Tribolium castaneum: one gene and its partners. The protein of the gene in region 3 purifies or fractionates together with the protein of the main gene of each other region. This does not show direct contact. Links are inferred from orthologs where the notes say so. Each region holds a gene or a part of one and is shown on either strand. Other genes may lie near its edges. The genes, in order: Sin3A, sin3 histone deacetylase corepressor complex component SDS3, SIN3-HDAC complex-associated factor and inhibitor of growth protein 1.

Evidence for each region.
Region 1: the proteins of SIN3-HDAC complex-associated factor (region 3) and Sin3A purify together in Homo sapiens (affinity purification with mass spectrometry; 4 studies listed by BioGRID and IntAct, counting the BioPlex papers as one, with this or other methods). This does not show direct contact. The link is inferred for Tribolium castaneum from reciprocal best matches to the Homo sapiens genes SINHCAF and SIN3A.
Region 2: the proteins of SIN3-HDAC complex-associated factor (region 3) and sin3 histone deacetylase corepressor complex component SDS3 purify together in Homo sapiens (affinity purification with mass spectrometry; 3 studies listed by BioGRID and IntAct, counting the BioPlex papers as one, with this or other methods). This does not show direct contact. The link is inferred for Tribolium castaneum from reciprocal best matches to the Homo sapiens genes SINHCAF and SUDS3.
Region 4: the proteins of SIN3-HDAC complex-associated factor (region 3) and inhibitor of growth protein 1 purify together in Homo sapiens (affinity purification with mass spectrometry; 3 studies listed by BioGRID and IntAct, counting the BioPlex papers as one, with this or other methods). This does not show direct contact. The link is inferred for Tribolium castaneum from reciprocal best matches to the Homo sapiens genes SINHCAF and ING2.

Annotation. Positions count from the first base shown.
Region 1 is NC_087396.1:24,659,632-24,667,715, forward strand, and holds the start of Sin3A (paired amphipathic helix protein Sin3b), read right to left. Parts: upstream 4,822-8,084; 5' UTR 4,235-4,821; intron 4,155-4,234; 5' UTR 4,019-4,154; intron 1,768-4,018; 5' UTR 1,748-1,767; coding exon 677-1,747; intron 1-676. Other genes in the region: sel (protein seele), read left to right, coding at 5,990-6,074, 6,132-6,454, 6,507-6,638; STE20-related kinase adapter protein alpha, read left to right, coding at 6,994-7,164, 7,212-7,444, 7,497-7,678, 7,726-7,905, 7,959-8,084. UniProt on the Homo sapiens protein: Acts as a transcriptional repressor. Corepressor for REST. Interacts with MXI1 to repress MYC responsive genes and antagonize MYC oncogenic activities. Also interacts with MXD1-MAX heterodimers to repress transcription by tethering SIN3A to DNA.
Region 2 is NC_087395.1:74,290-81,872, reverse strand, and holds sin3 histone deacetylase corepressor complex component SDS3, read right to left. Parts: upstream 3,327-7,583; 5' UTR 3,116-3,326; coding exon 2,995-3,115; intron 2,937-2,994; coding exon 2,373-2,936; intron 2,318-2,372; coding exon 2,109-2,317; intron 2,052-2,108; coding exon 1,959-2,051; 3' UTR 1,822-1,958; downstream 1-1,821. Other genes in the region: phosphatase and actin regulator 4-B, read left to right, coding at 82-97.
Region 3 is NC_087394.1:37,250,745-37,258,899, reverse strand, and holds the start of SIN3-HDAC complex-associated factor, read right to left. Parts: upstream 4,662-8,155; 5' UTR 4,505-4,661; intron 1,634-4,504; exon of another isoform or gene 1,494-1,633; intron 708-1,493; 5' UTR 670-707; coding exon 596-669; intron 538-595; coding exon 384-537; intron 270-383; coding exon 1-269. Other genes in the region: ras-related protein Rab-21, read left to right, coding at 5,093-5,227, 5,278-5,564, 5,645-5,873; Mbs (protein phosphatase 1 regulatory subunit 12B), read right to left, coding at 7,477-7,575. UniProt on the Homo sapiens protein: Subunit of the Sin3 deacetylase complex (Sin3/HDAC), this subunit is important for the repression of genes encoding components of the TGF-beta signaling pathway.
Region 4 is NC_087402.1:343,975-351,146, forward strand, and holds inhibitor of growth protein 1, read left to right. Parts: upstream 1-4,109; 5' UTR 4,110-4,231; coding exon 4,232-4,367; intron 4,368-4,417; coding exon 4,418-4,627; intron 4,628-4,676; coding exon 4,677-5,227; 3' UTR 5,228-5,319; downstream 5,320-7,172. Other genes in the region: RASSF8 (ras association domain-containing protein 8), read right to left, coding at 5,754-5,981, 6,026-6,340, 6,387-6,503, 6,553-6,987, 7,039-7,149. UniProt on the Homo sapiens protein: Seems to be involved in p53/TP53 activation and p53/TP53-dependent apoptotic pathways, probably by enhancing acetylation of p53/TP53. Component of a mSin3A-like corepressor complex, which is probably involved in deacetylation of nucleosomal histones.

The DNA of each region.
Region 1 (8,084 bases), on a different chromosome or scaffold from region 3:
AAGATAAAATTCATTTTTTTATCACCTTGTGCCGATCTATTTTGCTAGCCCCAGTTAAAGCTGTTTATTTACGGCATCCGATACAAATCAGTATGTAAGCCAAGTTTCTTTCGTTAATGGATGAACCATAAACCAATTTGGTTGTCGCAGATTTTATTATCAATTTATCAGTTAAGCAACAAGCAGTAAATTATGAAGAAACAATTGATGATTTGATTTCTACAAAACTCATTTTTAATTTTTGTTTATTATTGTTTAATAACAGTGAAAGAATTGAAAGTGAATATTTTTTGGGTTACGACTATGCGTTTTTTTAATGTGTAACACAAGAAGGCAATAAAAATTATCTCACTCTGTTGATCGTAGGCAATTAAAGCCTCCTGGGTTAATGTTTGGATTAAAATCAAATCAAATTAAATCGGATAAAAAACAAGCATCAAAATTATTAATACTTTTTTAGTTATTAATTCAAATTAAAGAAAACAGATATAATGTCATTATTTTGTAGAACACGTAATTGATAACGGGGGTAATATTATACAAGTCCATCTTTTTTTTTGTTTCGTTAATATTATCAAATCCAATAATTGGAACGAATTTTTTTCTTTAGCCTAATTTTGATCTCTAAATGGCTACGAGTGTTTAAAAGAAAAAAAATTTAAAAACACGAAATTACCTTAATCTTATTAACGTAATTAATGGCATGATTGAATTGCACCGGCTGATTCTGCGGCGTATCCGTGTGTCCTTGCAGCGCTTGACTCACGGCGACTTGCGCCGCCGCCAGTGTCATCGACGAGTTGTTGTAGGTCGGCGCTCCAGTGCCGTAACTTGACGTTGAATGATGTACAGGCACTGGGGGTGGTGGTATTGCCGGTGCGGCCGTTTGAGCCTGAACCGTAGGTATGTGCTGCGTCAACGATAGTGGCTGACATGGTGGTAGCGTGTTCAACACCGACGCCGAATTCGACATGTTGATCGTTCCGGAACCCCTCATAATCATCTTCTGTTGTTGAGGATCAGAGGGCATATTTCCCGTCGGACTTGGCATACTCACAGAGACTTGAAATGCATATCCCTGATCACTTTTCTGTACTTCAATCTTATAACCGGGCGGTAAAAACGTATTAAAACCAACAATCAGATCGGGAAAACCTTTGAATAAGTTTGATACGCGTTGGATAACACCTGGGGTGTCAATACTTTGACTCTTAAACTCTTTCATAATGTCCAAAAAGTCGTTGTACACTTGAGGCTTGGAACCGAATTTATATTTGACCAGGTCGAGATAGGAGAGGGCGTCTTCGACTTTTAAACGTTGGAAGTTGCTGCCAGGTGATTGTTGTTGAGATTGCTGTTGCATTTCTTGGATAGGAGGGGCGGTGGGTGGTGATGAACCGGCACTGGTGCGTAATTGAGTATGGCCGCCGCCGCCACCACCACCGCCGCCGCCGCCGCCGCCACCGACGGATAAAGGTTGCATTGCTGCGGAAGCTTTGCCGGAGTGGGGCGCAGTCGCCGTTGGCATCGCGCCGTAACTCACCGGAGGCGGCGGATAAAGTCCCGACTGCATTCCTTCACTGACCACTTTTACGTTACTAGCACTCGAGTAGGACAATGTTGACGACGACGAGGTCGTCGTTGATTGCTGCTGCTGGTGCTGCTGCTGATTAACGCTGTAGAGAGCAGCTGTCGCTGGAGACACACTTCCTTCTTTCAGCGTCTCATCCACTCGAAGCCGTTTCATTTCAAATTACATCGAGGCGGCTGAAAATTTACACAAAAAACTATTAATAAGTGGATGAAAATAATTTTTGTTTAATGTTACTCATTTTAAATACAATAACTAACGAAATTTTATCGAAATTAAAAAAAAATGTCTGAATTACCGACCAAAACACGAATTTTGAAAGATAATGAAATACCGCACTCACGGACGATGAAAAAATCTGTAGTCAAATCATGTGTATTTTCTTAAAACCTTTATTACATATTATGTTAAAGTTTTTCGTGAAATAATACGAAAGATGTTTACACGTCGCCATCATTTAATAATGGGACGTCTGTTATTATTGCTCGATAGGGGCTAATGCGCATAACGTAATCAATTACGCTGATAATGGGCGTTAATTTTTGTTCTATGAAAAGACTGAAGAGCTGGGTTAAAACTCGTTTGAACAAGTGTGACGGTTTACGTCTCTTCGAAATTTGTGTTTTTTTTTAAATGTGATTTAACCAAGTTTCATTTTTTAACACACGTGTGAAGACTTCCATTTGATTAGTTTATAATTACAAATCACGGCAATTAAACTTTTCACTTTTCGAGTTGAGAGACATCTGGTTGATATTATTACACTTTTGTGATAAGATTAAGAAAAACGTGTTCGTGTCATGATATGCTGCTATTTTATTACATTAATCGAATTCCTAACAATTACCTACCTTTTGTTTAATTAATAATTTCAGAAGATATTATGAATATTGTATTTCCGTGAAAAAATACAATGTTTTTTAGACAAAAAATATATAACCCATGATAATAACCGGTAAGCATTTTATTTAACATTCCATTATAAATTGGTTTCCAATAGAAATTACATTTTTTATTACATGTAAAACCAATTTTCATTTTCCAATACCTATAATTGTGATTATGTAAATTAATTTTTAACAATTTGCCATTTTTATCCTCTATCCACCGCTGTACAAACATTATTTCTGCATGTTATTACTGTCAGATCAGTTTTTGTAATTATCTCTGACCTTTTTCTTACAAATAAATAAATATACACCGTTAGTAATTATTATAACGTTATAATTTAAAACATACATAATAATACCTAAATTAAAAACAGAGACAAACTCTAATTTAAATAATTTTACTACCTATTTATTTGGTAGATAAATGAATAATATTAAAGTAGAGCACAATGTGACACATAATTACAGTTTTAATAAAATTCGCACAGACTACTCTTATGAAACACGTCCTACAGATTGAATAATTATCAAATTATTTCCCTCGTCTTACCTCTGAAATTTTATATAAACATGTTCATTCCAGCACGAAAATGTTATTCAAGAATTACTAAAAATCGTAAAAACAAAAATCTAAACTAGTATTTGACAAAAAAATAATTTGTGGAAATAAACATGTAAAAAAGCTTTTAAAAATGTAATTTGACCATACTGTTTTTTACAAGCTAGGAGAGCAAAATGATGACTTTATTTCGACATAACCTCAAAATAACATGTTACGTAAACAAAATCCAACAACATTTCGTCCATCATAGTCAAAACCACTGATATTTTTAAAGTTTTAATATAAGATTCGAGGAAAATTTGCAACAATATCGGCAACAACGTTCATGGAACATTTCTCGATCCCATGTTGAACATTTTCAATTCAGCTGATCCGCAAAACGACACGCCCACTTATTTATTTCTGGCATAAACAAAACCGGTAGCGTTTATACGAACTGCTACGCAGTTACTTATCGCGTCATTCCGGACAATAATGGCGTCGGTATTTCTCCCCGGAAAAAAAAACAAAACAAAACTCAGGGTAACAATTCTTATCATTTTGGCACTCGTGAGATAACCAAATAAATAGTCCATACCCTAAACCATTTATGCAAACAGTAAATCAACTTTCACGGATGACCTTGAAAAGGCGCGCGTCAAAGTTTTAGAAAGCCCGCATAAAAATCTCGTCACGTGTCGGTTTCTGGTGGCCATTTTTCGGCATTTGTGTTGTGGCAACGTTGCCACACCTTTGTGCATGAGTAATTTGTGGCAGTGGCAACGTTGCGTGTCGACTTCGCTCCCGCGATCTAGCAAGCTAGGCTCGCGATTGGCCAATGAAGGAATCGATAGGCGAGTGGAAGGGCAGGGAACCGGACGTGCGAGGCGCTGCGACCGAAGCGACCCAAACACGAAAGTGCATAAAGCCGAAAATCGGACGCGACTCTTTGTCAGTAAACAAATACAAAATGTTGCATCGAAATTTCGTAATTACCGAAAGGTCGGCAGATTTTCGGCGGAAAAGCGTTGCCAGGCCGACGAAATTTCCACGGAGGGAGAGTGCCGGCCCCCGCGACGGAGGCTAATTTTGGAACGCCGACGCCGAAATCGCGGAAAAACCATGGGAAATGCTGGAAAAGCGGCGCCGAATTGGGAATTGCAATTACACAACACTTGTGTCAATGTGAAAAGTTAAAAATATGTCACTCACCTTACAAAAGCCTCTTTCGCGGAAAGCGCTTCCGTGCGGACTGGTGCCGGGGATGCACCGTACAATTGCAACCGATCCGCGCTGATTTCACTGGGAAATAATTGGAAAACACTAGAATTCATCAAAAGAAAATTCTGACACATTCTGTTCCGAACCACCCGAAACGATGACCGATTGTCGACTGACTGGCTGCTTCAAATCTCCGAGCTTGTTTGGACGAGTCCATCAATTTCGGGTGGTTGGTCGCTTTGCCCACTTTCAAATTTTTCAAGTTTTTGATCACCAAAATGCACAAAACCTACACACAAACATTACGACGTGCCACAGGATGAGCTCCCAATTCCAGAAAAATTACACTTTAGTCATATTGTGGATTTTTTCAGTTTCGGATACTAGCGACCGCCCCTCGAATCAATTGTCTGATCCGTAAAAGGTTTGTTTGATGCTTGCTCTGATAGTTCAATGTGAAGAGAACAGTGGCGCTGTTATCGATTTTTAAAAATACCCGCCAAAGAACAATGTAGTGCCCATTTTCGGATTAGTTGAGCGTGTAGCAGATGTAAAAGTTTTAAACTGACCTCTGACTGTTATTAATCTTATTAAGCCGGACATCAAGATTCAAACTCTTTTTGTGTCTATTAATTATTATTAATAAACTACACCTAAACATTTTTATTACTATTAAAAATAATTATACCTACAAGAAATTAATCAACTAAACAATTTCTAAAAGTATTCGTGCCAATGATTACGTGGCTGCAGAGGCTAATAAAAAATATAAAATTAAATAAAAATCTGAAAACAAGTAAAAAACTTGTCTATGCAATTAATTCATAAATCCACTTTATGTTGAATATACATCCAGTGAACATTACTGCATAACACACACCTCAAGAAGACACATTTTAATTACTAATTATTAATTTAGTCACTCTCTTCGGCAATAAGAACCACAATGAAAAATTAAAAAAATAATAATAACTGAAGTGAGTGTATAAAAATAGTTGAAAATCACATTTTTGGATTCAAAACATCAAAAAAAAACACACACACACACACACACAGTGATGCATGGAGAACATTGGAAATTTAAAACAGGTCATAAATTCCATTTAAAAAATTATGTAGCAATCTGAAACTTGAAACAAATACCATATGCTAATATTTAAGAGCTTTTGAGCTTTTTGAGAAAGATAAGAGTTGAAAAAAAAATAAATTCACTTGGTTTATTGTATTTTGGGTTGCCCACTTCAATCAGTGCTTCTATTCTATGACAGACAATAAATAATTGAAGAAAATGGGGTCACGTTTGTGCTCCGAGTCAAAACGGCTCCAATACACTTCTGATAAACTTGTAAAAAATTACCGTAAAAAACAGAAACATCCAATTAGTTAGAATTCAACCCAAATTAATCCAATTATTATTCCCAATTAGATAATTCTTACAAAAACTAACTGTATTATTGGACCGTTTGGTTATGTATTTTATCGATTTAATTTTACATTATAAAAACCACGGGATTATAACTGTGAAAGATTTTCGGTTCAAATAATTTTCATTACGGGAAATACCATTGGAGCAAATACTATCAGCCATCACTATCAGCATAAGCCCAATTTAGCCAATCAGAAGGTAGAAACGTGTCATTAGAAAATTATGAACGTCAACCAGTTTTATTTTGAAGAAAGCGAGCCGCGAAAATATTATTCTTGCCAGTTTATTCCGAAAAAGTGCAAAATTGTTCTGACAATAAGATGAAAATAACGCTAGTTCTAGTAACACTCTTTTTTTACAACACAAAAGCACAAAAAATTGATGCTCAAGAGTTGAGGTGTTTAGGTAAAGAATGAATGATTTTTGTTGTAATGGTGTTTTGTAATTAGTGATGATTTCCAGTTTGTAAAGTTAGTTTAGACGAATTACACAAAGCTGTGAATAAAATCGATCCAACCAAAACCGTCGACGTTGGGGGTTATAGACTGGACTCTGATGGCAATTATCGACACAAATCAGTTTCTCAAGCCAAGTCTGAGGTTCATTTATCCGAAATGATCGAAGATATTTGTACGAAAATGGACGATTATGTAAGGGCGACGTGGAAATCGAACGGAACTTTAACTTTGTTGAAATTAATTACCGAAGATGGGAAAATGAATAACGACATGTCTGAAGTGAATTTAATTCAAGATGACGATTTAAACAAAAGTTTGAAATATTACGTATGTTTCTCGTTATTTTAGGTATTCGGCTGGACTGATTTATTCGTTTTAGTGTGAGGGCATTATGGAAGAAATGGAAGAAAATATTATCAAACACTTCCAAAGTGGAACAGAGGACGTAGACAAAAAGGTGTGTGTTGAAGAATCGGCCATTTGTGGGAAGAAAATTAATGAAGAATTGTGATTTATGCTAGTTAAGGCTTCCATGTTAACATATTTATTCTTTTAATAAAAAATCAAAATGAAATGGCCTTTTCATGAAACCTAGCACATGTCAAATAAAACGTCAGCTGTCACTTTCTAGGTTAAGTTGCTTTGTTTTAAAGCTTGTGAATTATCAATTAAGACGTTATTTATTCATTACATTCAATTACTGTTTTAAGAAATATAGGAGTGTTTTACAATTTATTGCCAAACATCGATTGATTGCCCCTTTTTGCGGACCAAACGTCAGAATGGTCAAGTTTTAGGTTAGGTCATTTCAAATTTAAATATGTCACAAAAAATTGTTTATAGTGTGACTAAAAAATAGCGCTAAAATGGTTAATTATGAGGCAAACATATCAGCTTACGAGACAATATCAACTCTGGGCCAATGTTTCGAAGGAATGGCAGTGGTCAACTTGGCAAAACACAAAATTTCGGGCACCATGGTCACCATAAAACGCTTTAATATGGACCGAATTAAACACGAAGCGCACTTGGTCGAGGTGTGAAACCATCCCTGAAGTGCTACTGCATGACTGATCTGTTTTAGAGAGAAATCATTTTGACGAAACAGTTCCAGCACCCAAACATTATTAAGTACTTTGTGGCCTTTGTGCATTTGCATGAAGTGTGTGTTGTGAGCCCTTTGATGGCTTTTGGCTCATGTCGCGATCTTTTAAATACACATTTTAACGAAGGACTGCCTGAACACGCTATTATTTTAATTTTAAAGGATGTCCTTGATGCGTTGGATTACATACACAAGAGGGGGTTTATTCACAGGTTGCTTAATTTGTTGCTTTAGGTGAACGAGTATTGAGCCAAATTATTCAAGGTCAGTCAGAGCTGGTCACATTTTAATTTCTGCGACAGGGAAAGCGTCTCTTGCTGGCTTACGATACGCCTGTCCGATTGTTTTAAATGGAAAATGGCAAAGGCAAATTCACTCGTTTCCAGCAAGCACTGTGAGGAACCTAAACTGGCTAAGTCCCGAACTTTTGGAACAAAATTTGCAGGGTATTTTATTTTATTTGATAGTTTTGTTTTAATTAAATTTGTTCAAGGCTATAATCAAAAATCAGACATTTATAGTGTGGGTATGTTAATTTGTGAGTTGGCAAACGGTGCAGAACCATACGCTGGAGTCTCAACGACATTAATGTTGACGGAAAAAGTGAGAGGCTGTGTGCCACAACTGTTGGACTGTACTACTGTACCTACAGATGAAAATAACGAAGTTCATGGTTGGTTTTGAAATTTTTAGTATAATTGGTTGTAATTTACTATTTTTACGCAGGTGATTGTGATATAAGTAATAATGTGGTCAGTAGACGATTTTCAGAGGATCTACACGAACTCGCAACTCTTTGTCTACAAAAGGAGGCAATTATCCGTCCCACCGCTAGTCAACTCCTCACACACC
Region 2 (7,583 bases), on a different chromosome or scaffold from region 3:
AGGAATTAATTTAGTGCGCTTTCCTCCATAGTTGCTCATATGCTTTTATGCAATAATTGTTTATGATTGTTTTGTTTTTAGGTTTCATAGGCCTTGACAATTCCAGAGTTTGTTAAAACAAAAACAAAAAACTGTGATGGACGTAGCCGTAGAAATTAACGTTCCCGTATTCGCTTATTAATTGAGTCAGATTGTGTTAAATCTGGCTGAGTTTGTGTAGGACATTGCACAGGATTATAACTGTATAATTGTTTTGTACATACGTGATTTTTAATACACAAAGTTTTTATGGATAATTATTATAAATAATATGTGTACATTTTTTGTTTGAAGCACTTGATCAAGTTGTAAATATTTTGTGTAATTATAGTGCAGGTTTTAATTTAAAATTCAAGTTGCATTACAGTGTGTATAACTACTGTAGGTGTATTTGTTAATGTAGAAATTTTGTTTGAGTTACTGTCTAACACTAAACATTGACTTAGAGACTTTATTTTATCCCATACGACACGATTTATTTCGTTTGGAAAAATTATTTTTATTGGATATAAATAAGTAGCCAATCAAAGTTGTAAAATTAGAAATCTTGTATAAGGACCTTGTGCAAAAGAGGAACCGTTGGTCTAGCTTGTAACATAGTTTCCTTCGCTTCTAAAGGCAATATGCTCTATGTATACTGTAAGAAATTGTATTCATACTCAATCAATTTATACTGGTTTTAATAACAAGAAATGTCTTCCAAATAGACAAGACATTAAAAAACACGCCTTTTATTTCTTCTGACTGTCCTATCATTACATCCATCCTTGAAAAAAAAAACGTAATTCGGTGGCCTTGAAAAAATGTTTAGAATAAATACGTAAATTAATTTATTTGTTTACATTTACGAATAATGTACACAAAGTGCGGTTGAGTATTATTAAGTTTTGAAGATGCTGATAACAGGATGTCATGTGTACCTGTTTAACAAGTTTTTCTAATCAGATGTAGATAAATTTTCGTACTTGAAATGAAATACAACTAACTAATAACGCAATAATGAAGTTCAAACCAAACGGCCACATTTTACGAATTGCTTTAACTATATTCAGTGTTTTATTTGGAGTAAGTATACGTAGTTCTGTTTACAAAATTAATACTGTTTTATAGATTTTGAGTATAACTCTTATAACAATGGGAGCCATCTATTTTGACGAATTATGGTGGCCTAGAAGATACATTGGTTTAGATTTTGTTGAGCTGCCCACTTTATTGATAATTTTAGGCTCATTATGCTTAGCTATGGCTGTTGCTGGATGTATATTTGCTAAAACCGACAATAAAACTATACTTTTAACAGTAAGTATAGTAAGTGATGTTATTAATTGTGTACATTTTTTTATTTTAAGTTCGCTGGTGTTCTATTAACAATTTTGTGTATCGTATTAGCCATAGGTATAATTAGCTTTATTAATATTGAAAAGCATGAAAGTGGTCACAGTAAGAGGCACCGACTAATATCAGGAGATAAAAGGGAGATTTTCCTTACTTCATTTTAAATAAGTTTTAGTCCTAATGTCTGTATTTATGTTAATACAAAGAATGAAGAATCATACATTTTGTGTTTCAATTGACTATTTGGAAAACAACTTTAGTGCTATTTGGTTTGGATACAAAATTTTAAAGCTCTAGCTATATTAGAAGTTGAGAAGTTTCTAATGTGGGCCCTAGAAGAATCAACCGTATAATTACAGAAAAAGCAATGAAAATTTTTGTATTTAATTTTATTTCTCGCTGGTATGTACTTTTTGTTTAAAAATATAAATGACTAAAACACACAGAACATATCAATTATTTATTGTTTACAAACTACAGCTCACATGAAATTCCTAGTAGTAATTAAAAAAATGCTAAATATTTTCCACTTAAATTCTGCAGCAAACGTGATATTTTCTCGATAGTACTATTTACATAATTATTTAGGACGCTCTTCTTTTAACTGATATTTTGCCCCGAGCCAAACTTGATAAGTAGATTTTAACTTTACTACCATCAGATCTCTTCACCCATATCTGAAACAAAAAAAAAAATAAAACAATAAAAAAATTAAAATATTTTTTCAACTTTACCATGTCATTGCCTATTGCAGAAATATTAGCAGGAAATTTTGGCAAATCCCTTCCTTCAACAAAAACACTCTGACCTCGATGAAACCAGCGTTTTTCATAGAGAAGTTTTCCGTCTTCAATTCTCGTCTCAATTAACGGTAAATCATTAAGACCTGGCGAAACAGCCAAAGGACTTTGAAGATTGCCAGGACATAGTGAAATGTTATCATCTAAAGTAAAAATAATCAGTTATTATTTGGAAAAAAATTAATAAGTAAAACGAACCAATACTTGGTTTCCTTACAGGCGCCAGCACTTTCCCCCTATTGATGATTTTCAGGTCATTTTCAATATCTTTCTCATCCAAAAGATAAGTGATTTGTGCTGTAGGCGCTTTTCGCCGTTTTTCAGGCACAGGAATTGGATCGTTTGGTCTACGACGCAATTTCCTTGTCATTACTGGCTTAACTTCCATGGAGTCTCCAGTCAGTTCAATCGAATAACGTTCTGCTTCAATTGTTCTTTTTTTATCTTCCAAATCTGAGATTAAATTCTCTCGCAAATCAATCTTTTTGTCTTCAAAATCTTTAGCTGCAGCTTTTTTTTCAGCAATATATTCACGCTCCACACATTCAATTCGATAGTCTCGGTACAAAATATTCACTCTTATCCGCTCCCTGTATTGACTTTCAAGTTTCTTCACTTTTCTGTTGTAGTCGTGATGACTGCCATCACTCAGCTGCTGGAGTTTCTTTTTAAGACTCGCTAATTTGTCTTGATACATTTGCTCTTTAATTTCGAGGGGCTCTTCATGACGGCCAGTGTCTGTTTCACTGGCATCTTCAGTATCTAAAAATTAAAACATTTGTGATTTTTTTGCCAAATTTTGGTAGATTATATCAAAAACCTTCATCACTGTCGTCATGAGGATCTTCGTTTTCACGATCATCTTCATCGTCAAAATTATCATCTTCATATTCGTAGTCTTGGTTGTACGAATTCGAGTAAGGAGATCCCAAATATGACATACTTTGAGTTTTACAAAGTATTTAATAAGGAACTTGCTCAGTGTTTTCTTAAATATGCAAGGTTTGTAAACAATTACAATGAGGTTATGTTACTCAACTCAACTGTCAAATGCTGTCAAACAAATTTATATGCGCGCGCATGGCTTTTTTGAAATTGTTTTTTTTCTCAACAATACATTCCAGAGAGCGTTTAATTTTCTTAAAGACCAAACACTTTTGTTGGACATTAGAGATTTTTACTTTGTTATGTTGGGCAAAATTGTCAATAGGTCTTTCTTTGTCACTGTTACCCTTGACGACACAATTTTGGTTTTGGAGAGACTTCAAAGAAAAAAACGACAAGCTATAGACTCGATACAAAGATGTGAAATGACATTTAAATCATCTCTTTACTGATCAGGAAACATTATTTTGCTCAAAAAGTTTGAGAAATGTCTGAAATCACACTTTTGAAAAATTTGCCAAGAGTGCTTTGACTTCGCTGCTTTTGACAGTTGTCACCGCGCGAGATTGTCACAGTCGGTGTTGTTGTTGTTGTTATCTCTCAGAAAATCAAACGAAACTAGTGATTAGTCGTGCTGGTTGGTTCAAAAGAAATGGGACACATGTTTTGTGAAATGTTTGTGAAATTTGAAAGTTCGGGCGCGCGTGGGCTGTGATTTGGCGCGGTGGTTATGGAGATAACTCGGGGAAAAACCGGCTCAAAAGACTGTTTTACACACATTTTTCAATTTGAGAAAGGTAGGTTCAAAACCCATTCGAACGTTAATTTTAGATATTTGCACCGAATTATGACGTGATTGTGACGTCATCGTCAGTTATTGTTATTAGACGGGCGTTTAAAATACAATTCTTCCAAACTTTCTGATTGGGAAGAGTGGAGTGGTGAATTGTAAAGTGTTGTTTGAGACTTAATAGTCCCGTAAACTAAAATTTGGCGAAAAAATCTCGAAATTAATGTTGGTTGTCAAATTTGATCGATGGGCGAGTTCTACAGCTTTGCTTAGCAAGGGTACAACAATGGCTCTGCGAATCCACTAGTTTAATTTTAATTTAATGATTTTTTTTGGGTGTATACTGTTGATTTCTTACATTAAAGAGTATGTGATGGTGAATAAATACTAGCTTTCGTTTTGTACAGGGTGCTGCATTTTGGTCAATCCAAATTCTACAGCAAGAGTTGATCTAAAGACTTTTTGAACTAGCACTTGTTTACAGAGAATTTAATGTTACTAGAGTTTTTATTTAATCATTTCAACAAATTTTTGATTTTTCTCAATATTTAAAAAACTAAAAACTTTCTTTCAGATAATAAGCGACCTCGTATTTTTATAATAGTTGAGATCTTCATGGTGGAGCTTAAAAAACGGACACCTGTATAGTTTAGTAATTTTTTAGCAAGTAATTATTTATTGGTTATCGGTTTATCTTAGTATGGTGTTTACATTTGTCCGATAACTTTATCTATCACAGGATTAAATTCGGAAAAATATACATACAATAGTACCTATTGTTGTAGCAATAAATTGTAACTCTACTATTATTAGTTACTTTGGATTGGGATTGTAAATTAAAGCCTTATTGACTGATTCTAAATCTTTAGGTCTTGATTCACGTAATCACATTTTCGGATATAAAGTAGTGACTATAATAATAAATATAAGTAATCAAACTAGAATAAATAATTATAATAAATGAAAAAATAGCAAATTTCAAACTTGTTTTTGTTCCGCACATTCCAAAAGAAAGAGATATTTCAAATTTGTCTTCACTTGGTATACTTTGTGCAACAAAAACTAATACAGGATGACCTAGGGATACGTAATCGGCCAATAACTTTTTTATTATTTGAAATATTTGCCATGCCATAACCAAAGTTATATTTTTTTAAGGAACACCTTATATATTTTTGCATAATTGGATTCTACGCAAAAAATAAAGTAACGTTATATAAACTATTATGGGTCGACAAGTATCTCTTTTCGTTTCGAAATTACTCAACTTTTCGTTATAGAAAAACTCAATTTTTAAAAAATATTTTTTTTTTGAAAAATCTCAAAAAATATTTTAAATTTGCTATGCAAACCCCACAGCGTTAGAAAGCTATCAAAAATGCTATCGATACATGAAAAAAAATATATGGTGTTCCATTTGAAAAAAAAATGAGTTATTCATCTTTTGGCGTTTTGGTACACTGTGTACATTATTTCCGTGTTTCAAGTAAAAGTCGATTATTTTCTAAAACTACAAGGTAATCTGAAATTTTGTGTTGCAAATTTGCCGGAAAATATTGACAGGCGACTTCACAGTGATTTTTCAAAAATTGTTCTATTTTATTACCAAAAGTTGCAATCATTCCGAAACGAAAAAAGATAGACCCATAATAGTTTATATAGAAACACATTACTTTTTGCGTAGAAACCAAATAATGCAAAAATATATAAGGTGATTTAAAATAATATAACATAGGTTCATCACCTATACAACAACCTGTGTACAATAAAATATTTTTAATTTGTGGACATTAAGTCGATCTATCGGATAAATAATGAAAACAGCATGGTAATAATATTTCAAATAGTGAAAAAGTTATAAACCGATTACACACCCCTAGGTCACCCTGTATATAGTACCTAAAATTGATAGATGTGTAACAAAAGTTTTTATTACCAGATTTTGACTAGGTTTAAATAAAACGCAGACTTTACCAAGTTGATATGATAGAAAAAAAAACGTAAACTTTTGTTGTACATGATTATTGATTTTGATTTATTATTTGATAAAACTAGCACTTGTGTAATCAATATAATGTACATGAAATACTAGGACTAATTTTGCAAGAGTTGCAATAAGTAATTAAGTAATAAATATGATTTATTATCTCAGGTGATTAGAACGTATTAAATATAATGGGAGAATCCGGGAGTCGGGACGCTCGCTCTGCTATACTTGTTACGCAAGCGTATCGCACAGGAAGTATTCCCGGGAAACGGTAGCTTCGCTCATCGGGAATTGTGGAAGCGCATTGTGGTGGTGTAATGGTGCTATCTTGTGATCTCAAATTTGACAGTATTGGAAAGTGTGATTAAAAATTCTAAATTCAGTATTTTAGATTTAAGGAAAAGCGACAATCATAAAGTGTTAGATTTTTTCGCTATGGGTTTCTCTTTTTGTAGTAACCAGGACTAAAAGCTGAGGGAAAAGGTAAGCGACCAGTTTGTTGCGTACCTGTTGCTTGCGCCAGTCTCTATCTACTTTGGATGGCCAGGTCACGAATGTGGTCGTAGTTAGGTACCTGCTAGTAATAAATGATAACAAGCAATAAGAACGTTTAATAAATAAAAAAATACCAAACAGCAATTTTAAAGTTAGTTCATAAACTATTATACCTATCGTAAAATTTTTCCTAACAAAACAAATATGTCGAGTGATCATAAATATACAAAATTAGATTTTCTAGCATCCGATTTTGCATCCTTAATTTTTCTTCTTCAAGTTATTGTCAAGGATAATCGTATATTTATTAAAGTGATCACAAGATCTATTTAAAAGTTTATAAAAAGTACAGTACAGTAATTTTATTCTTTGTTTATTCAATGATTGTCACCAATGGATTTTTTTTAATTTGAGGTATGTTGCCATTTGGAGTTAATTTATAGTTTTTCCAGGGATGAATTGGACTTTTTTAAAAATTACCAACAAATAATTCCAAAAAATGTCAAAAGAAAATATGATTGAATTATGTATGCGTGACCTTGATAATTATTATACATTCATGCGAACATACAATCTTTATTTGTTATTTTTGCTAATTTTAGGTTTTCAAGCATATTACAGAGTCAAATCAGTTGCACGGAGAGCTGACTGAAAATATCGTATGTTTTAATAAGTGGCTGTTTTTTTTTTAAATTATTTCTTGAATGCTTGAATCCGGTTTTGCAAATCAACTACGTCGGTAGCCTCAAAAAAAAGCTCCAAAAAGTTATTTTAAAAGGTTTTCAAATGACGTTATTTTTGTCTAAAACATTGTCCTATCCCAAAATGCTATATACAGGGCTTTCATTTCAAAAGGAGCCAGTCTCAATAACTTTTGACGTTGTGCAAATTTATTTTCAAGCAACAACAGGATCGCGAGGGGGAAGTTCAAAACCAACATTAGTTACAATTTAGGTTTCATCCCTTAATCGCTAACTACCCCTACTTTAAAATTTTAAATAGCACCGTCTACTTTTTTAAACATTTTCGGAAAGGAAGAAATGCCTATCTAATTGCCAAAGGAACAAAAACTATTGTCAATTTGTTTTTTTAGTTAAGGGTGGGTCGTTATATTTTTGAAATTTTTAATTGTAGTAGGCCATGATTTGAAGCTAATTTAATTTTAATAAAAAAATTGTTGATTCGGGATGCAAATAAAGAGTTTAAAATCAACATTAGTAACATTTTAACTTCCATCCTTTAGTTGCTAACC
Region 3 (8,155 bases):
TGTCCTTTATGCCTCCTATTTTTCACCACATTTTCCTCACTGTCACTATCTCTAGGACTCGCCGTACGACTGGAGCCCCCACTGGGGCCATCCTCGCACAAAAAATCAACTTCAGTCATATCCACATCTTCGTTATCCGACAACGGACTGTACTCGCGTTCGAAATGCTTCTTCTTCTTGATTTTATCGCAATTCTCATCGATTTTCTTATTCTTACTTTTGAATTTCGACATGGACTTCATTCCGGGACCGGCACGCGCATCCACCACCTGATTTCGATACCATAATTGCATTTTAGTTTGTGAAAGCATCGTAAGTTTTTTTTTACAACAAAAAACAAATGACACACGGTTGCGTAAACAAATTTTTTTTTGGAAACTTACATGTTTCCAATTGCGATCAGAGCCGGCTGGGAGTTTTTTCCATCGTTTTACCAAAAGGACACAAGCATTGCAAATTTCACCTTGACGGGGTTCAGCCAATTTGAAGCATTTCATAAAGTCTTCTTCGTATTTTTTACTGTCCGTAAATCTGGAACTGGAAGGGAGAAAAATCATTGAAATTGTTTAATTTTTGACAGGAATTTGACACTAACCTGCTTGATTTTGCCTTACAAATACAGCATCCTGTTGACGATCTATACACCTTAGGTCTATGGAAGGAAAACATGATGGGGCAGGGGGTGTAGCGCCTAGACTAATAAAAATCTGAAAAAAATACAAACAACTTGTAAAAGGTTTCATTTCATTTTTTTATTTTTTCTTTTCCTAATAAAATTGCTGTCTCATCTCAAAAACACCAGACAACAATGCAATTTCTCTTTCTCGTTTTGAATTAAACGGATTTAATTAAGATTTTTTGTTTCACTGTCTAGCTCAAGTAGAGCAGAACCAAGCCAGCATGTTACTATTTCAAGCCTTAACAATTTACATCAAAAAATCTCTTAAAAATATATTTTTTTCTTTCTTTAATTTAGTTTGTCCCAAAAGAAGGATTTTATTAATTTTCATAAATGTGTCGTTGCAACACAACGAACCAAGATCATACAACCTTGAGATTACAATGAACCCTCAAATAAAAATGTATAAACAGGTCAACGACCAATGAACATTAGAATAATCTACATCCATCCTAAGGCGGCTTTTCGAACGAAACTAACTTTAATGGAATATTTCCCACTTTCTAATAAATTCCAAACATTTAAACAAATAAATGCACTAATTACCGGTAATGAACCAAAAAATTATCCCCCTAGTAACATAATCGTATATTAAGTGTGTCAAGTTAAAAATATCCAACAGAAAACGTCACACCTGTTGTTGATTGGGAGTAAAAAGGGCCCAAATCAAGCCTTTCAAACATGTGACATTGAATGAGATAATAAAAGGAAGGTCGAACCGGCCTTGCATTTGCAATTTTTAATTTACAACTCTCATACACAAGTGACCTTTAAAATCCTCAACAGAAAAAAAATTAACGAAATTTTCGTTTACCTGCTGATTTGTACGTTGCACCACGACGTTTCATTTCTACAATATGCAAAAGATTGTTTTTGTGGTATTGTTGTTGTCATACCGAGCAAAGTTTATCTATTCGAGCAAATGAATGTAAACAGATTTGTCTATAAATACACCAATGTCTTGTACATTTATCGTGAGATAAATTACTTATTCATAAAATGCATTCGGCGATACGGTGTAATTACAAAACGTATCGAAATTATGTCAACGTTTTGATATTTTGTTTTACGACGTAAACATAATGCACCGAGGCGTACTTTACATTTCGTAATAGTCAGGTATTTCAACACTCAACAATTTATTCCTGCTATTTATAGACGGAATGCAAATTGTATTATATCAACGTTTCATTACTGATTAATACTTTTAATAAAATAAAAATAACTTGCAGTTCTTCAAGTCGTCTAATAATGCACTTCCTACAATTACATCAATTATCTAATGTTCACAATTTGTAAGACTAGATAAGACTTATCAAGCTGTGACACCATAAATGTTTTCCCGCATTTTTTTATTTATTTTTTTTTTTGGTTATAACAAGGATTGTAATCGTAGTAAAACTATTTCTGAATTAAAATAAAAAAAATGAAATTTCGTTTCACAAAACTGCTATCAATCATTCGAGCTAATTATAGAACTGGTGTTTACATCGCGGCAAAGAAACCGATTCTTTTATCTCTGTGTAAACACCGATAAGTTCTCTACGAAAACATGACCTACGATTTGCTAAAAATAACCCCAAAAAGTGCATCTCGAGACAAATAAAACGATAAAGGTCGCGGACAGTGGTAGTAGGCCGTTGGGTGAAGGCGCCATCAATGCAAAACAGGACCATATAATAAACCAGAGGATTAAAATAGATACAAGACGACCGTGATTTCGACGAGTTTTGAAGCATCATTTACTTTGTGCAATCGTAAACAGCATCGTTGTCGCGACTAAAAAGTCGACAAACTTTAAAGGGCATTCACCTACAACACGGATCGATCAAGACACGAGTCAAAATTATCATTCGTTTTGTAATGACTGTAATCACAATTATTGACATAAATCCACCAAAAAAAAGCTTGATTCTGACACCATTTTCTATTAATATATAAACATCATGAACTTATTGAACAAGAAATAAGAACGCTACGTCCAACAACCCACTTACAAAAATAAACAAGCTCATCTATTTTGCATAATTTTAATTAAGCCATTTTTCCTGATTGAAACTAGTTGCTCGACTTGCAACAAGTCGGAGAGGAAAATTTCTTCACAATTTTATCAGTATTTTTTAAAATGGCAAAACGACACTTTTGAGGACAAATAGGTCACAAATAAATAAGTATACATGTTTAAAAAATGACGGTTGTTTTAGCTTTGAAAAACAGCAAATTATTGTTTTTTTCTGATTTCTGTACAGTTCTTTAGCCTTCCGTTTCCCATAATCCTCTATTTTTTTGTTGCAAGCTTAATGAATTTATAAACTGATATTTCTCTGGTATTTTTCTCCTTAATTTTCTAAACTTTCTAGACCATATAATGTCCGTTTTTCAAGCTCCATCATGGAGATCTCAGTTCTAAACTTACTGTTTAAACTGAAATAAATCTGCAGATTTTTTTACCCATGAATGTATTTAAATTTGGTTTAATAAATAAACCATTTCACAACACAACTTATTCTCTCTTAACTTTATTTTATGTTAAAATTTAGTTTTCTTTTCGTTAATGATCATATATTACATAATTTAAGAGTTGGAAGTTGATTTTTTGTTTCCATTAAGCGATTCGATTGAGCTACTATTATTAGTAGAACAACATTATAAATAATTGCATCTTCAATTTGTTGATAAAAATGATGACAAAAATTAATCACAATTTCCGCAAACAGTGAAAAAACCCCAATTGCAACAAAAACATTGATAACACTTAAACCAGAATCAATAATTTTCATTTATTTACTTTTAACAACAATAAAATGTTTACTACATCCTACAACCAGTTACAAACGGAAAAACATTAATTACCACATACTTAGTTTTAAAACACGGCGGGGGGTAACTTTTTGATCAATTCCGAGTCGATTAAAGAACGAAATTTCGATTTTTTTCTCAATGCTATAACAAATTTCGTGATAAAAACACAAAAATAACTGAAATTTCGGTAACATTTCATACAATTTCACGATGAAAATTATGTGGAGCGTTGACGCCGGCCATGATGGAACAACGCGTGGTGTAAAGAAGCCGGTCGGAGACCAGATCGTGCATTTTCGGCCCATGGGGGGAAAAACTATCGAAAAATTAAAGGCCCAAATCACACAAAACAGACACAAAGTTATGGAATTTCCCGTGGGCGTAACCCATTCATTCATATATGATCAGTGTGAGACAAAGGGTTAACACACTGGGGCCCAAATTAGCAAACAAATAGTAATAATTCCACTGACGTGACGCTTCAATTTTCAAAAATAATCAATTTTTGTGCTAGTGTTTTGCCCACAACTTTCTATTTTTCCTTCGAGAAATGGTGTCACGACCACACCGATTTTCCTCCAGTTTTTCCATTACATAATGCCTTTTAAATCGAAAACATCTCGATGCAATCCCGAAACTGGAACACTTCAACACGTGCATAAGAGAAAGCGGCCTACGTGCCAAACGTCCCGACTAATATCGCCCGTCGAAATAATCCAACAAAACCAAAATTTGGGCGACAATTGCACGTTTTCGACTGATTTGGTGCAAAAATCGCCCAAAGACATCCAATTATTTGACCTGATTACAATACTTGGAGCTGTGCTTTTGAACAAACGCTCTCTACCACCGATGTGACGCCAACGAAAAAAAGCGAATTTTAAATGAACTACGTGATAATTCCCAATGACACTCGTTCCCAATCATTGACACGACCTAAACTAACACTCAGGAGAGAGAATCATTCAATATTTTCACGTAGTTTTTGAGAAATTTAACGCAAAAAATTGATTGTCTACTTACCAATACAACACAGATGACGGCTAGAAACACAGATGAGCCACTGCGCATCTCAAGGCGCAGCCTAAAGCTTTCGGGGCGAATTTCAAACAATTTTAGCCTAATTCCCTAAAATACGCATCCCACAATTCACACCTAATTTATCGCAACCTGAAACATGCCTGAATTCTGGGCACAAGTCACGTTTTTTGCCTGAGAAACGCAAAAACAGTTGTTGATTTGAGTACGACTTCCGGTGTTACGTCAAGTTTGAGCTGACGTTTCCTTTTACAACCGACTTGTTTACACGTCTTAAATCGATTTGATTCTTCGCGGTGTTATTGTGGACCGAAAATTTTGTCAAAAAATAACCATTTGCAATTAACCAAGTCCTGAAAAAATGTGGTTTTGGCCGAAAATTGAAAAAATTTTGAAACCCCCCTAGCGGCGTTTTCCTAAACTAATTGCGACAGGTACGCAAAGTCACGCCTACATAAAGAACAATCAGCTGATTGTGAAAATGTAATCGAAAATAATTGTTGATTGTGGGGAAAAGTCTAATAAATCATTTGTGCGTAATTGTATTTAATGAGTCAGTGAAATTCGTTGACTATGGCCAACAACACCAGCGGGGCTTCCCACAACTTTAAGGTTGTCTTGTTGGGGGAGGGTTGTGTGGGGAAAACCAGCTTGGTACTTAGGTATGTGGAGGATAAATTCAACACGAATCATGTAACAACGGTCCAGGTACGGTGTTTAATCAAGTTAAATTTTCACTTTTACACACTTTTTTTCAGGCTTCGTTTCTCAACAAAAAACTAAATATTGACGGCAAACGCATAAATTTGGCGATTTGGGACACTGCAGGTCAGGAGAAGTTCCACGCCTTAGGCCCTATTTATTACAGATCGTCAAACGGTGCAGTGTTGGTGTACGATATCACTGATGAAGATTCGTTTCAGAAAGTCAAAAGTTGGGTGAAGGAATTGCGGAAGATGTTGGGGGCTGATATATGTCTAGTGATTGCTGGAAATAAGACTGATCTTGAGAAGAACCGAAACGTTAGCTTGGAAGAAGCCGAAGCGTGAGTTACACTTTAGGTTTTTCACTCTCTCATCACTACGCTGCTTGTGTTCAAATAACTTTTAATTATTTTTTTTGCAGCTATGCGATTAAAGTGGGAGCGATACATTTTCAAACGTCGGCAAAATTGAATAAAGGCGTTGAGGAGATGTTTCTCGTTCTGACGCAGAAAATGTTAGAGACTGTTGAAGAGAAAGAAGCGCAAAATGCGCCCTTGTCTAGACAGAATTCGCAACGTCGCAATGTTGTTGTTGTTGACGATGATCAAGTTCCTCCACCACCCACAAGACAATGTTGTAGCAATTCGTAAATTTGTGTTGTTATTTTTTGTATATAATTTCGTTTTAAGTCAAAAAATGTAACGAGAGAGTCAAGGTTGTAATTTGGAGCTTCCTCCAAATAATGCTTTATAAGAATAAACCCAAATATGTACAGAATTTTTTCATACTTACCTACCAGTCCCAAGAAAAACTCACAATTCGTATCAGGATTTTATTAAAGAATCAGCTATAAAATCACTATTCACATGATATTCTACCAGCCTCTAAACAAGGAATAAATACATGAAATAATTTACACACTAACTAAAAATTTATATAATAAATACAAAGAGAAGCAAGGCACAAGTTCAATGAAATAAAACGTTAAAACGCTAGAAATTAACAAACTGTATGTACAAATGTAATTTCGCTAATGAAACAAAACATTCATCAGTCCAATTTTTATTATTATGGTCACAGACAAAATTCATATGTAAAGTTTTGATTTGAACTTAGTGATATTTAGCACCTTATGGCATAATTTCAAAGTTAAAAACATCTAACAAGTGAAAAGTGCTCAACAAAATTTGTCGCAAGTTTTTCATCTTTGGACTAGATTCTAACAATTTAAACTTTTCGTTAAAAATCGATTTTGTACATTACCTAAGGAAAACAAACTTTTATAATGCTTATATTTGATCAAATGCAAGCATTATAAAACAAATATCAAGAAAAAACAAATAATTTATATATTTTTTGTAACATTAAAATCACAACAATTGTTAATAATAAGTTATTCACAAAGTACAGTACATTTAAATACATTTATATAATACAACATGTTTATATGTTTTACAAAAAATATACTTTAAATTGACATGTTCGTTTAGTAGGTAAAAATGAAGTGTTTAATACATGTCTTTTCCTACAATGTCAAAATAAATAAAAAGCAAATAATATCACACAACCAGCAAACTACAAGCAATCCAACACAAATGCCTTATTATGTCAAAATGTAAAATTTGCCTCAAATTCACCGATTTGAAGCAGACATTACTTGAATGTGGTCATTCGTTTCGTACAATTTTCAATAAATAAAAAATAACAATAATACTTGATTACAACAAAAAAAGGAAGGAAACGACTTCGGACTACGAAGTTCTAGTAATCAGAGTAAAATGCAATAGGAAAATTAAAACTTCTAAGGCTTATGCTATTTCGATAACTTACTAATCACTCTAATAAGCGCTCCATTCTCGTCCTTTAGCTTTTGATTTTCTACCTTCATAATATCCAACTGCTGAAAAAATCAATACGCAAATTAGCAACAGCCAATCGACTGTAGTAAGTTAAACACATGCTCACGTACGAATAATTAAGCCGTGTGTCAATATCGGTCCGTGAAAAAAAGCTCAAACATTCAAACAAAAAACACTGCACAAAATTGGAAATGTGAGAGAATATGTTAGTATGTTAGCAATTTAAAAAAAGAAAAACTTTTTTTGTTATTAGGTGTGTAAATATGCGTTCTACCATCATCCAACATCTGAACACAAAACAAGTGTACAATAATAAAACAAAATGAACAACAGGAAACAATTTCATTAAAAAAAATGGGCGAAATCAGCTGCATGGCGTTTTAACGAGTTTTACCTATTTTTTTGGAGAGTTGGTAAGTTTGGTGATGACACGAGTGAGAGACCTGTTGTCAGCCTTTAAACGTTCATTCTCGGCTTTCAATTTTTGCAATTGCTAAAACAATAATACAACGTGTACCAAATACAACTTTTATTCATTTATAACGAGGAGAAAAATCCTGAAAATTACACTAGATTTAAAGCTTCCATTATACTTAGTTAATGCGCTATGTATTTATAATTTACTGATAAAATTAGAGCGACACATGAAAAGCAATTAATTATGTATTAGGCAATTGGTACGGAATTAGATTTGGCGGCTTATTTATAAAATATTTGGGTTTCACGTTGACCCGTTTCTTTTTTATACAAAACAGACAAATACAATTCTCTCTGCTGCTGCTAAATCATTATCTCAAACAGGTCAAGAAATTCGCAAAAATAAACCATAAATGAAAAACAAAAATAACCAAAGACAAACATATCACGTGATAATAAGTCTGCTATTTATACGTTTTTAAATGCACATGATGTGAGCAAAAATAGCAAACACTCTAACTCATTTACACCAAAAAATACCGCATTTTATTTTTACACGCAATATTTGCAAGTCATTTTTCACAACTACACTGAGTGACAGCGGAAATGTAACATCAAATTTTGTTCAACAACTTACACTTTCACATTTCTAGGGT
Region 4 (7,172 bases), on a different chromosome or scaffold from region 3:
TTTCTATTACAAGACTAAGACATTACACGATTCTCTGCTTATTTTCCTCCTTTTTGAGAAGACTGCTCAACAGCTGAACCAGGGGCGACTCGTAACTCGACTCGTTGTTCCTCCCAAACCTCAAAAAATTGCTATTCCTTCCAAACCTCAAAAAGTTGCTCGTATCTCGCTTATTCCGGCGCCCAAATCGTAGATAATTCGTCGTAGCCTTAGGTTGGTTCCTCCCAAAGCGGAGAAAATCCTGCTTACTGCGCCCAAACCGAATAAAATGATCGTTTTTCTCGATTTTCCCTGATCTAGTCGGACGAGCGAAATCTTCGCCATAATCTTCGTATTCGTAATTTGGGCCACTGCGTCCAAATCGGAGAAAATTGCTGTTTCTTCGCCGCACTTCCATGTCGGAAACTTCCTCTGATGGCTCCTCGAAACCGTCGAAATTGTCTGAATAAAAGTCTTCGTTGTTGTAGCCCGAAGCTAGTTGGATGATTAGTGTGAGGATTAAGATGGCGAAAGGCACCATCTTGAGTTCTGCAAAAGTTGGAGTAATTAGGTGTTGGGTTTAATCGTCCATTTCGGAATTGGGTTACGGTTTGAAAATGAGCAGAATCAGTTAGATGGAGGTCAATTATATCTCTTGCAGCATCAATTTATCAGGATCTTGTGGCCGCTAAAGGTTAAGCGTGAGATACATACAAGAGGAGTTATTAACTTGGACGCAGAGAGAATCTTTTCGCTTTTGGGGGAGACGAGCTTGTCATAATATATCAATTACGGCCGTGTAAATAGTGTTGAGTTGCATGTGCTGAAAGTTTCATGAATTCATGCCTGAAATATTGAGGCGACATGTAACGTAAGATGAACACTTGAGCGAAACTCGCTGGTTTAACAACCACGATCTAAATAAATAAAAATGCTTTTTTTACATAAAATTATTACCTTTTGCGACACACAAGATTAAAACTATAAATTTTGTAATTCATTCAAAAACTTTTCGATTTTCGAAATAATTTAATAATTTTTTTATTCGGTTTTTTAGGCTTTTTTTACAAAATAATTGTAATTGTCTCAAGTAAAATTTACACGTAATTATCTCAAGTTTTTTGCTGCCAATTTAATGTCGTAGAAATAAAAATTTTCAAACATTATGCGTTTCAATTAGTATTTAGAAACACCATTCAAACTTGCTGAAAAGCACTCAAAACCAAGTACTTAATTAAAAATTTTGATTATTTTCGGGAAACACTGATTTACATGAAAATGACGCAAGTATTTAATAATTTATAATCTTGTCAGTTTAATTAAATTTCGCCTAACACCTGTTGTAATTATGAGTGACACTGACGGTCAGTTAAAGCCAAAGAAACGTAAAACTTTTATCATAATTGTTCCGTCCTTATATTAAATTTTAGTGCCCGTAAGTACACTGATAACATTTGCATATAAATACGGTCCAAATACTAAAACACTGAACTGATAAAATGATGAAAATTGCCATTTTCCTAGCATTGGCCCTCCTTGTAACTTGTCATGGTGATGGTAAGTCTTGAATAGTTTCAAATTCGTGTTTAATTTTCTTTCAAGAGACAAACACAAGGGTTGAGAGGGCCACCAAGCCTCTCCTCTGCCAGTTTATCGATTATTTAGATCATTTTTACTACAGTTTGAACGAAAAAATCGTTTATTTGCTCGAAGTTGATGCACTGGGAACTGTTATACATATTGAAAATTGGGTTCGTGACTTCATCGAGACCGCTGTTCGCTTCATTTTCGCAATCAGGGAAAGTGTGATTGTTGTAATCACCCGTTTTGTTGTGGCAGTTGTAAATCTGGCCTTCCTTTTTATTAAAATCATTCGCAGCATTTTGGATTATTTGCCCGAAAGTCTTTTTTGTTAAAATAATATAACAGTGCAATGGTGTGTTTTATTGCTCCTCCAACTTCCCTCATAATTCCAAGATTAGGTTTTAATCTAATTTGAACGAATGAACAGTTGGGTTTGCCCCAAAGGCAAATTATGAGGAATGTGTTTTTTGTGCGTTTCAATGATTCAAACCGTTGGTTTTATTAATGAATTCAATTTCACGTTTGAAAGTCAACAAAGCACATGAGTGTGTATTTATTTTAACCAAGAAATTATTCTCTTTTGGTGAACAAATAACACTTGAGGCTTCGCAAATACTGAATAAAATTTCGAGCAAAAAATAGTTATTTTTATTAATCGGCAATTATTTTACGGAGAAAATTGCGCTATTTATTTGATCACCTTTGTGTTTTGTTGCATAATGAGAGACTGCACTGGGGAGCATTCTGTTACAAATAAATAATGATCTGTTTTCGGAAATAGTTTTTTTATTTGAAAACGTAATGTTTGTATTGCATATAAAAATCGTGTCAACACAATTAGTCACGAAAAATGGTTTTAATGAAAACAAAAAATATTTTCAGCATATTTTACTGAAGTTTTTTAATAAAAATGCAAACGAGTCTTTAAACATTACATATTTATGTTTTTGTTATTTTTAAATTCAAGTTTAACAAAAGAGTAATTAAATTCCGGGTTTTTTCGGTCAATTTTGAGTAAACTTCAAACAGTGTAACAATAAACGCTGTTTAGAAAATTCATTCAACAGTCACTCAAAGGATTTCAATTAATTTTAATCGATCATTTTTCTATGGGAACTAAATTAAAGTAAAACAAGCTGCTAAAGACTTAAGATTTATGACGCTGTCGCGTTTTCTTCAAGTTATTTTCCCCACGTTTTTCGCCTAATTATTCTTCACTTCACGAATGGCAATTGATTTTTGGTCAAACATCGAAAACATGAAACTTACAAGTTGCTAAAATTCCTTGGGCCTCTAACACAACTGGTTGCAGATCAACAGGCGTTTCAGGATGTTGCTGAAACTCTTTATCCTTCCAAGGCGCCTACATGTGTTGGAGGGGGTTGGGCCACCACCATTGGCTGCTCCCACGTTTCCTCCATAATTATATTGTTACAATATTTTGATTTATTTAGCGCAAACCAGCTATTACGACTTCAGATTTCGCTGACCGACTGGAATTAGCTCAAGCGTCACGTTTCAAACTTAAGAAATTAATTGCAACTTTTCATTAAGTTCAATAAAGCCACAAAAGATTAAATCGGACGTTTCCTACAAAAGGATTTTTCTTTATGACTTGAGCCTGATTTATTTGAAACGTCCGCCTTGTGTCGACATTTTTAAGGTTACTAGAGACATTCTTCTGTCCGGAATACTGACAAGTTGCGAAAATTTCGACGGAAATTGGAAATTATTCGTCGTGTCTTTATGGCGGAGGCGCCGGGTTTAGCTCTAATATCTCGCAGACATTGACCATGCTTGTTTTTTTAAATTTATTTTCTTCTATTTATTTGCCAACAACTGGGGTGTTGAGTGTAGCCCCAAAATTACATTTTTTTAATTTATATTTACTGAACGGACCTAAAGTTTAGGAACATTATTTTTAAATTTAAAACATGGAATGCTCACTTTTTTGCATGTTTAACTTTTTATTCACATGCATGTTAAAACTTGGGAGATAAAAATCATTTTAGTTCCAATAAAACTCCTATTATTAAAACTCATACTTTGTATGAGCATTTGTGCATCAATATTTTATGCAAGAGAACATTAAACTTTAGTTAATATAAATTAATTTTTGTGGTACATTTGATTCCCGCAAGTGGTTGATGGTAATAATTAATAACAGAGTAACATAATTTTTTCTTGCTCCTTAACGAAAAAGTGCTGAAACTCTTTGAAAATGGAAAAAATTGTCTTTTGCGGCCCAATTCGATAATTTTTTATTTTGAATTTTGCAAAATAAGTGAGTTTCAGACTGAAAAATGCACTGAAACCTTGAAAATAATGCAGTGGTGAGCTGAATTTAGTAGTTTTTGTGCAAAAAAAAAGTTAAATTTGTGATAATTTTTTTATTATTACACAAATTTAGTGATTTTTTTAGGAGATCAAAGACGAAATTTGGCAAGAATTTAGTTTTTTTGATTATTTATTAAGCAGAACCGGTGCAGTTAGGCCTTAGACAAAATGGTCGTGTAAAAAATTGAGTTTGGCGCGTATCCGTCCTGGGGTTTTTTTCTCCGTGAAAATCGGTAAACAGCGATTGATGTCAAAAATGGTGGCTTATGTTTGAAATATGTGAAGCTGAAGTAAACCTTTAACCTTTTTGTAACTTTCCCCGTTGAAAATCATGTTGAACCAAGTGTCCGTCGAGGCCGTTTATTCCGCCACGTACGTAGAGAACTATTTGGATTGCGTTGAGAACCTCCCCGATGAACTCCAACGCCTAATCTCCAGGATGCGAGAACTCGACGTCTGTTACTTGGGTAAACTTTGCTATTTTCATCCAAAAACCGGCCTCAAGCCGCCCTTTCAGCCCGCGTGCGTGAAGCCGCATACCAGACCGAGAACTGGAAAAAAATCGGTAACGATAACCCCGCCAAAAAGGCCCGGGGCTTCGCCCGCATGCAGCAAGCCCTGATCGCAGCCCAGGAACTGGGCGACGAGAAAATGAACCTCTTGCAGTCAATTCTGGACAAGATTGAGATCAAGACGCGCTTGTTGGACCAGGACTTCAAAAATTTAGGTACTTTTCGTATTTTTTTAATTTACACCATGTCAAACGCGATTGCTAGATTTTGGTAAAGACGAGACGACTCAACTCGAAAACAAGGAGCAACAGCCCCCTAATAACAACAGCAGTAGTGCGGGTTTGGTCGAGAGGCCTCCAAAGAGGGCGCGGCGCACCCGTCATGACACTTTCTCAGGCTTGGAGTCGAATCATAATGATTCAGCCCCAGTGGAGCACGTTTTGAGGAGCCAGGTGCCGTCCACGGCCAACTCGACGAAGAAGAGTGGGACTGGGAAGAAGAAGAAGCGCAAATCGAAGCAAGTGCAAGCACAGAGAGAGGAATCTCCGCCAAGGGAGGAAGAGCCGATTATTGATCCCGATGAGCCCACTTATTGTCTCTGTGATCAAATTTCTTACGGTGAAATGATTATGTGCGACAATGATTTGTGTCCAATCGAGTGGTTCCACTTTTCTTGCGTTACTTTAACCACCAAACCGAAAGGTAAATGGTATTGTCCAAAGTGTAGAGGTGATAGACCCAATGTTATGAAACCCAAGGCGCAATTTTTAAGAGAACTCGAAAAGTATAATAAGGATAAAGAGGAGAAAACATAAGTTTATTGGTGTGTGCATTTTACAGTTCTTACATAGCAATTAAATATAATTTCATAGAATGTTTTAAAATAATAAATATGTCTAACATCTCAGTGTCTGGTAATGTTAACCTAACCAGGAACCTCGAAAAATCCTGATAAAAGAAAACCAAAAATTCCTAAATCCTCCAAACCCGCCAACTTGCAATTTCTAAATTAAAGGGAAAAAAGAAGAAGAAAAACGCAATTTAATATTTTTGTGTGTATTTTACATTTCCGACATAGCAATTAAATATAATTTTAATATTTTAAAATAATAAATATATCTAACATCATTTCTTTATCATAATCCTGTGTGATGCAACTACACACAATATGGCAGTGTAAAATAAAATAAAGTAACAAAAATGTGTAAGTAAAAAATCATCCAATCACCTAACAATAAATAACACTTTTTATAATTTAAAATGGCGTCAATACAAACTATCAGACTTGAAAATCAAACACGCCTAGACTGAGGTAAGCTAAACAAAATGACTACAATTTTATTAGACCCAAACTCCATGCGGGTTTTTATTGGTTGGTACAGCATTTTCCAATTGTCGAGGCGAACCAATCATTTTTCGGGTACTTCCCTTATTAGGACCTTCCAAAATCGCTCGTAAATCCTCAGGTGGCGCTATAGTCAAACTTTGTAAATTCGCCTCTTTCATTTCAGTCACAAGCAATTCCACTTGTTTTTTCTTTTCGATTATTGCCGTCTCAAGTGCGGCAACCTAAAAAACAATAAATTATCAAACAGAGGGATAAAACCACTCACTTCTTTTTTGAGCGTTTCGGCAGTCAGGTGATGCAATTCAGTGCTCTGTTTTGCCAACTCGATATCTCTCTGTAACCGCTCCATTTCGACTAGGAGACTTTTTTCCATTTGTTTGCGTGATTCAGAACGACGCGATAAAGCTCTTTGTTCGATTTGTAACTCGTCCATTACTAAACGAATTTTATTTTTGCACTGCAAAAGTTCAGTTTCGCAATTTGCAAGCTTTGATCTCAAGAGAGTTATTTCGGATTTGAGCGTTTTCTCTTGCTGTTTCACTATTTCGCATTCTTCCTCAATGTAATGCAATGCCTGAATCTAGGGACAATTTTTTATTATTGAAAATTTATTATTTGAAACAAACCTGGTCTTGATTTAATTTCGTAGCATTAGTCATTGCGAGAATTTCCTGCGAAATGTATTCTAATTGCATTTGTTTTTCCCGTTCTTTACTCTCCCAAAACACAATTTCGGCATCAAACTACAAAAAAATAATTTCTAATAAGAATTAATTAAATTAATTGTGGCACCTTTGTTAGGTCTGCTTGCTGATTGGACAATTTCTCCCTCTGGTAATTAATAAGCGCGATTAATTCCCTATACTGGGCATTGTAGAGTACAGACTCCTGTAATTTGTGTGTTTTGTTTGACTCTTGTAGGATATTTTTTTTGGGGGGCGGCGGATCGCGGTAAGGGGGCGGTGCCGGTGGGTGGATTCTATGACTAGGAGATTCGGATTTTTTGGGTGAATTTTGAGATTCGCGCACTTGTAGTGTTTTTACATGCGGTACACCTTTCACAACGCCTACTTGTGACTTCTCGGTGTGTTTTTGTGGTGATTCCACTATGATATTAGCTGATGATGATGATGTTTTTGGTTTGGTTGTTGGTGTCATGGGTTTGCTTTCGCTCCATTGGAGGATGAATTGGACGTCGTTTGAGTACTCACCCCATTTCATCAAAATCTGCGTGTTTATTATTTTTTTTAATTTTTTTTGGGGGGTGGGTTTACAAACCTTGAGGGGGTTTTCATTGGGGGCCAACTGTCGTTCGTTGTTCCTCCACCGTTCGATAAGTGTGAATCGGCCTGACTTACCCGTGGCGTGAGCTAAAGCAAACACTACATCCTGCAATTTGACAAGTGTGAGAA